Neurospora crassa OR74A: one gene and its partner. The protein of the gene in region 1 interacts with the protein of each later gene in a biochemical or structural test. Links are inferred from orthologs where the notes say so. Each region holds a gene or a part of one and is shown on either strand. Other genes may lie near its edges.

Region 1 (3,684 bases):
CGGTGCCGTTGTTGATGCTGGCTGGACAAGAGGTAGGGGCTGTGTAGTAGGTGATTTTGATGTTCTGGAGGGGGGTGTTAGTCCACGTTTTCGGTTATTAGGGGTGGAGGAGAGAAGGGAAGACAGACGTCGGGGAGGTTTAGGCTGGAAATAGACTTTGCCATGCCATCGGTCATGGACTTGGAGGAGTTGGGGTTGAGGATCAGGATCCTGATTGGTTCTTGCTGGGCGGTAGTCATGTTGACGAAGGAAGGGGGGTGAGTGAGTGAGGTGAATCGATAAATGGTCTGAGAGGGAAATAGTCAGGTCTGAGTCCATTTTGGGAGGTATCATGAAGTACTCAGTTTGAAAGATTGACGATGGTAGAACCTGAATGGGAACAACCTACTAGTATCGTAATGAGTTGGTAAAATACCGATTGTATCGACGGCCTGAGTGAGAAAGAATAAGGCAACAAAGGGTCTGATAACCACAAATGAAGAATCAAAAAAAGAAGGGACGGGAAGAACCAATATCAATCTCCACTCTCAAATGCACAATCCATCCCGTCTGATCTCTCACGATGCCCAACAAGGTGCATGTACTACTGAAGGTACAAGTGCGAGTCTCATGCGGGGTATCACGTGGGTACCCTAATGCCTGCCACTTCCTTGGGGTCCAGAATCCTGCCAAGACCCGCTTGTCATCGGCGCTCGTCCTGGTCAAAATAATCGAGACCTTTGACATGATACCTTGGCTCCTTGGGTATACTGCTGACTCTCAAGTTCTAGGCAATTACAGAATGAAAATGTGTAAATAGGGCTCTAGCTGAGGTCTTTTTGAATTGTTATATTCCCTGTCACGGTCTTGCAGCGGTCTTTTCTATGATCTTGACGTCTAGTGAACTGGTTTACCTAGCCTGCTCGCTCGTCTCCTTTATTTTGGCTCAGACGAGCGGCGCCCTGTTTGAAGGAAAGCTTGGCAGTTAGCGAATGACCCCACATATCGATGCTACCCCCCCAGCTAGGCTACCGCGCTGGACTCCAGCTAATTACGGTGCCGTAGTCCACTTCGCTACCGTAACCCGGACAGGGCACCGACACCACTGCACCGACCGACCGACGGGACCACCGACACTTGGTTCCTGTTGATTCACCCGCGGGAGCTTTCCATTCTAGCTCCGATATACACTCGATATTCGAAACCCCGACGAAGCTATTCGCAACTCCATTGAAAGTTACCAAACCAAACAGCCGCCCAGCATGGCCAACACCGACGCTCCCATTGGTACGTCAGCTCTTCTCTCCGCCAACAACCCCTTATCCATCTGGTGTCTCGAGCTCAAGCTACCTTGACGACCACCAACACCACCACCACCCACCCATCTGCCTGACCGCGTCATCACCGTCGCCATGGCAGCTGTAGCCGTCGGACTCCGTCCTCAATCACTTCCACTTCACAACAACAAAATGAGCACAGCGCCCAGCTAACACTTCCCCCCTCGAACACAGTCCTCGATGGCGGTACCGGCTTCCTCAAGGTCGGCTACGCCGCCCAGAATTTCCCCGAATTCCAATACCCCTCGATAGTCGGCCGCCCCATTCTCCGCGCCGAAGAAGCCAAATCGCTTTCCGACTCCTCCGACATTGTGATCAAAGACATCATGTGCGGTGACGAGGCCGCGGCCGCCCGTACCATGCTCCAAATCAGCTACCCGATGGAGAACGGCATCGTCAAGAAGTGGGACGACATGCAGCACCTATGGGACTACACTTTTCACGAGAAGATGAAGGTCGATACGCGGGGAAGAAAGATCTTGTTGACGGAGCCGCCTTTGAACCCGTTGAAGAACAGGGAGCAGATGACCGAAGTCATGTTTGAGCGCTACGACTTTGGGGGTGTCTATGTCGCTATCCAGGCGGTGCTGGCATTGTATGCTCAGGGTATGTCACCGCTCCTTTACACGGCGACTTGAGGAAACAAGTAGCTGACAGACAACGCGCAGGTCTCTCCTCTGGTGTCGTAGTCGACTCGGGCGACGGTGTCACGCATATCGTTCCTGTCTACGAATCCGTGGTCCTCAACCACCTTACCCGCCGCCTCGATGTGGCCGGCCGCGACGTCACCCGCAACCTGATCGCCCTCCTTCTCCGCCGCGGCTACGCCCTCAACCGTACTGCCGACTTCGAGACCGTCCGCCAGATCAAGGAAAAGCTCTGCTACGTCTCGTACGACCTCGAGCTCGACAAGCGCCTGTCCGAAGATACCACCGTCCTCGTCGAGAGCTACACCCTTCCCGACGGCCGCGTCATCCGCGTCGGCTCCGAGCGGTTCGAGGCCCCCGAGTGCTTGTTCCAGCCGCACTTGGTGGATTGCGACCAGCCGGGTATCGCCGAATTCCTCTTCAACACCATCCAGGCCGCCGATGTTGACGTGCGCTCCTCGCTATTCAAGGCGATCGTCCTGTCGGGTGGTTCCAGCATGTACCCCGGCCTTCCAAGCAGACTGGAGAAGGAACTGAAGCAGCTGTGGTTGACGCGCGTGCTGGGAGGCAACCCCGAGAGGCTGAGCAAGTTCAAGGTCAGGATCGAGGACCCGCCGAGAAGAAGGCATATGGTCTTCTTGGGTGGTGCGGTGCTGGCGAATATCATGGCGGATAAGGAGAGCATGTGGATTACGAAGCAGGAGTGGGAAGAACAGGGCGCGAGGGTGTTGGAGAAGTTGGGTCCTAGGTAAGGGACTACCGAGGGTGAAGCTGTTTAGACTACAATAGCAGGCGATATAATGTTTTCCGTTGGTAGGTAAATAAAGGATAATGCGAGAGTTTGTTAGAGCTTGCTTGGGCTGGTGTAATTTTGTTGGTCCCGACAGGAGAAATCGAACAATGGCCTTGTGTCAAGAGTCATGGTCTTTTGGGATACCATGAAAGAAGTCCCCAATATCACAACGGCGCCAACATCAAGCAAGATGCGGACAGCGGAACGGGACGGTCCCGGACAAACATCGGGAAGACGGAAAGGTGAAATGGTCCACCCCCACTTGTTGGACATCGATACGGTACGCTAAGGCTGGCGGCGATACAGTGGCTTATCAGAGCTGACACACTAACAGAAGCAAACATCATCAGATCTCTGCTAGCCTGACATGTCGCTGGTGACGAAAAGGGTAATTGATGTTATTGTTTTCCTTCGTGTGTCACTTTGTTCTTGCCTTTGCGACAACAATATCAATCCAGCTCGTCGTCAAAATCCCCAGACCTGTCGTGTTCCCAGATCCTCACCGGCCATCTTTACTCGATTTCTCCAAACTCTCAAGCCCGGCTTCCATCGCCCAGCTACCGGCCACGCTAACACACCGTCTCCGCTCATCCATTCCCGAGTCTCACAGTGGTTTTCCCCCCGGGCCCGTGCAGATCGGGTACGGCTCAGATGACATGCCTCCGAAACCGAAATGTGAGTCGATGAACTTGATCCAATTCCTTCATTCAAAACATCATCCAGCCCTCCCAGCATGATCCCTTCAGTGTGTATCTTGTGCCCGGTTATATAGTTTATTTTCTCCAAATTCCCGAGAGCATCTTCAAACACAAAACAGACGGGCGGTGACTGCCCAGCCTCTCACTACCAAGTCACTACCTTGCATACACCAACCTCACTCTTATAAACATACAATCACCCCCCATGATGTACGGCACAAATAGAGCGA
Region 2 (3,192 bases), on another chromosome or scaffold:
CGTTCGCTTTCAATAATCTTCCTCGACACTGCTTCGATATTCCATGGGGATCGGAAAAGGAAACATACACAACCTAGGCACGCCCGGCAAGATGTGCACATTCCCATTAACCACCGCAACTGGCACCCAAAGTTCCTTGCAAGGAAAGAGGAACTGCTTCGCCAGGTCTCTGTTGACGTCTGTCGGTAGCTCCACCATACGGAGCTTTGCGGTGAGAACGGGCGAGGGCTCGTCCCAGTTGAACGGTGGCTCGCCCTTGCGAGGAACAGAAAGCTTCTTCATGAGTTTAAAAGCCTCTTCGTTCAGCTTGAGAGGCAAACCGAAGGCTTTGGCTATCGATTGGTAGGTAATGTCATCGTGGGTGGGGCCGATGCCTCCGCTATTGTTCAATGAGGTCAATGATGTGTCCTGGACACTCGAAGAAAACTCGGTGTTGGTAGTACCTGGTGACTACAAAGTCATAACGGTCACTCATACGGCGGACAGCCTCGACAATTTCATCTTCGTCGTCGGCGATGACTTCAATCCTCTTGAGATTCTGATATGGGGCATCTACAGTGAGCTTGGTTCTTCTCGGGACTTTAGAGTGGATGGCTGGAGCTCACGATTCCCAGGTTGAAGCACCATTTTGCCATGTAGTTGGAATTAGTCTGTAGTAAGTCAGCATTGGCGCGTCAGGGCAAAAATTTACGAGTTCTCGACTCACATCTTTGGTCTACACAACAACAGAGAACAGCTGTTAGTCTCATTTTCGGCTATCACCCTACTAGCACGTCTTGACTGGACCTGCCTTTCCACCCAAAACCTCATCACCGATAATCAAACACGCTGCTGTATGGATAGTCCGCGCATTGCGCTCATCTGCCGTGACTGTTGAACCCATAATGCTGTTGAAGAATGCTGTTGAAGTCCGGCGCGGAGCTGATGTTGATGGGGCAACAAATGACGTTATCGCTGGCCGTAACAAGTGCCGAGCAATCTGGGATAAACGAGAGAACATGAAGGTTTTAAGTCCAGGAGAAGTTTGTCTTGTAAGACAAAACAGATTTTTGAGGTTGAAATAACAGAAGAGAGGATTGAGAGGGAAGTCCACTGCAAGATCACAACCACAATGGGAATGAGATCGGGTCTCCGGCTTGTCTTGCCCGATGCGTGGTCGCGGCACTGGTGCCTGCCATCGCCGTCCATTAACATGATCCCCGCCCAGGGAAGGAGGCTAGGCGGCGCCTTCCCCGCTCCGTTTTAGCGGGTCAAGCTGTTAAGCTTCCGCGGGCTAATGGCCGGGACAGCCCCGCCATCAGTGAGGAATCGATAACAGCTTACGCTACGGGGCAGATACCTCAGCAGTTGAGCTGTGGACTTGGCAGTGATGCCATGCGGGGCCGACTTGCGTCCCTGGGACGGGAGCCTGGACGAGGGCGGTGTCTTGTACATGACAGCTCAATGCGACATCTTTTCGAGCTTCAACTCTTTTGCTACTATCCCAAAGCTTTGCGACATTGCCTGTTCCCCTTCGATTTCCCTCGCGACCACTTCCTTCTTCTTGCCGTCCGAATCTTGCGTGTTCGACCGACCCGAAAACAGCTCTTCACAATGGTGCGCCGCCGCTTTCCTACCTATCGCAACATCCGATCCATCCACACCACCAGCTCCTCTCTCCAGCTTCTAAGCTCTTGAAAGAAAGCAGCTTCTCGAGATTCTCAAGAACCATAGCTGATGCCGAAAATGCCAGGCCTCCGAAGCAAGACTCTACACTTTCTCCCAAGAAACCAAAGACCACCTGCGCAAGTTCCGCCTTGGGACTTCGCGCTCCAACGACCCCCAGGCCGTCATCTGTATGTATGTTCCCGTTATCCCCCCCCGGACCCTATCTCTGGCTATCGGTACAGCAGGTCAGAAAAAACTAATAGGTGTATCGCGCAAAACAGACCTGATCGATAAGACAACCAAAGAGATCAAGCAAGACGACGACAAAGTTGTATACAAGACCCTCGAGGAAATCGGCGATGACCTGCCCGATCACAGTCCGAGATTTGTGTTGTTGAGTTATCCCCTAACTCTTGTAAGCCGCCCTACTCGTCGCCCTGCTCGTCAAACATATATATCCACCTGGTCTTCTCGAAGAATGGCTGGGTGTAATGGAACAGATGAGAACTGCGACTGACAATGGCGTGGAACAGCCCTCCGGCCGACTATCGGTGCCCTACGTTATGCTCTACTACATGCCCTCGACATGCAACAGCGCAATGCGCATGTTGTACGCGGGTGCCAAGGAGCTGATGCGCAACACGAGCGAGGTGACTAAGATTATCGATATCGAGTCGCCGGAGGAGCTGGAAGAGATTCCGGCCAAGCTTGGGGCTGCTTAGACGTGTGGCAGTAAAGGGCGCCGAGCTGACAGCCTTATTATGGATGGACGGACGGGCACAAAGGTTGGTCTCCAGAGCGACCAACAGGGCCCGGCGTGAGCTTTCACACAGAGCTGGCAACTGGGACGAGGAACAAGCAAAGGGAGGCCATTTGGAATGGAAGGCAAAGTACAGCCAGATTCTGGATCATTCATGATCTTCTCGTTATATAAACGCCGTGATATCCCAGCCTTACAAAGCCAAAAAGCAGTCCCTGAACTCCGCCCATGCTATGGCCATTACTTCGCTCAAGCGTCATCCTCCTCCGGCATCACGACCTCCGGATCCAATCCCATCTCCGTCGCCAGCCCCTTGACCACCCCCTTCAAGGCCCTACACGCCGGGCTATCCGGGAAGCTATCAAAGAAGCTCTCGCCATAATCGCACGCCATGCCAATCCTCGGATCAAGCGGCACGCTCCCCAAAAACGCAATCCCCATCTCCTCCGCAAGCTTCCTCCCGCCACCTGTCGTTGCCTTAAAGATCTCGCTCTCGTGCGTGCACTTGGGGCACACAAACCCGCTCATATTCTCCACCAGTCCCAACACCTTGATCCCCGCCTTCCGGCAAAAATCAATCTCCTTCCTGACATCCAACAGGGACACTTCCTGCGGCGTGGTAACCATCACAGCGCCATCAATCCCGCTCTTTTTCAGGTACGTGTTCACGCTCAAGTGCTCATCCGACGTGCCGGGCGGCGTATCCACCAGCAGGAAGTCCAAATCGCCCCATTCCACATCCTTCAGAAACTGCTTGATCAGCCCGTTTTTCTTGGGCCCGCGCC

What was found.
Region 2: the proteins of arp2 (region 1) and NCU10777 form a complex in vitro, tested with the Saccharomyces cerevisiae proteins (2 studies listed by BioGRID). The link is inferred for Neurospora crassa OR74A from reciprocal best matches to the Saccharomyces cerevisiae genes ARP2 and AIM7.

Annotation. Positions count from the first base shown.
Region 1 is NC_026505.1:6,357,522-6,361,205, reverse strand, and holds arp2 (actin-6), read left to right. Parts: upstream 1-1,038; 5' UTR 1,039-1,241; coding exon 1,242-1,266; intron 1,267-1,490; coding exon 1,491-1,922; intron 1,923-1,984; coding exon 1,985-2,715; 3' UTR 2,716-3,098; downstream 3,099-3,684. Other genes in the region: NCU07170 (hydantoin racemase), read right to left, coding at 1-64, 129-239; stk-8 (serine/threonine-protein kinase prk1), read left to right, coding at 3,660-3,684. UniProt on the Saccharomyces cerevisiae protein: Functions as ATP-binding component of the Arp2/3 complex which is involved in regulation of actin polymerization and together with an activating nucleation-promoting factor (NPF) mediates the formation of branched actin networks.
Region 2 is NC_026504.1:5,112,205-5,115,396, reverse strand, and holds NCU10777 (GMF family protein), read left to right. Parts: upstream 1-1,450; 5' UTR 1,451-1,593; coding exon 1,594-1,596; intron 1,597-1,732; coding exon 1,733-1,835; intron 1,836-1,928; coding exon 1,929-2,062; intron 2,063-2,180; coding exon 2,181-2,369; 3' UTR 2,370-2,631; downstream 2,632-3,192. Other genes in the region: NCU08824 (molybdopterin binding domain-containing protein), read right to left, coding at 69-379, 444-538, 606-650, 707-715, 791-883; NCU08825 (cytosolic Fe-S cluster assembling factor nbp-35), read right to left, coding at 2,657-3,192. UniProt on the Saccharomyces cerevisiae protein: May be involved in mitochondrial organization and biogenesis.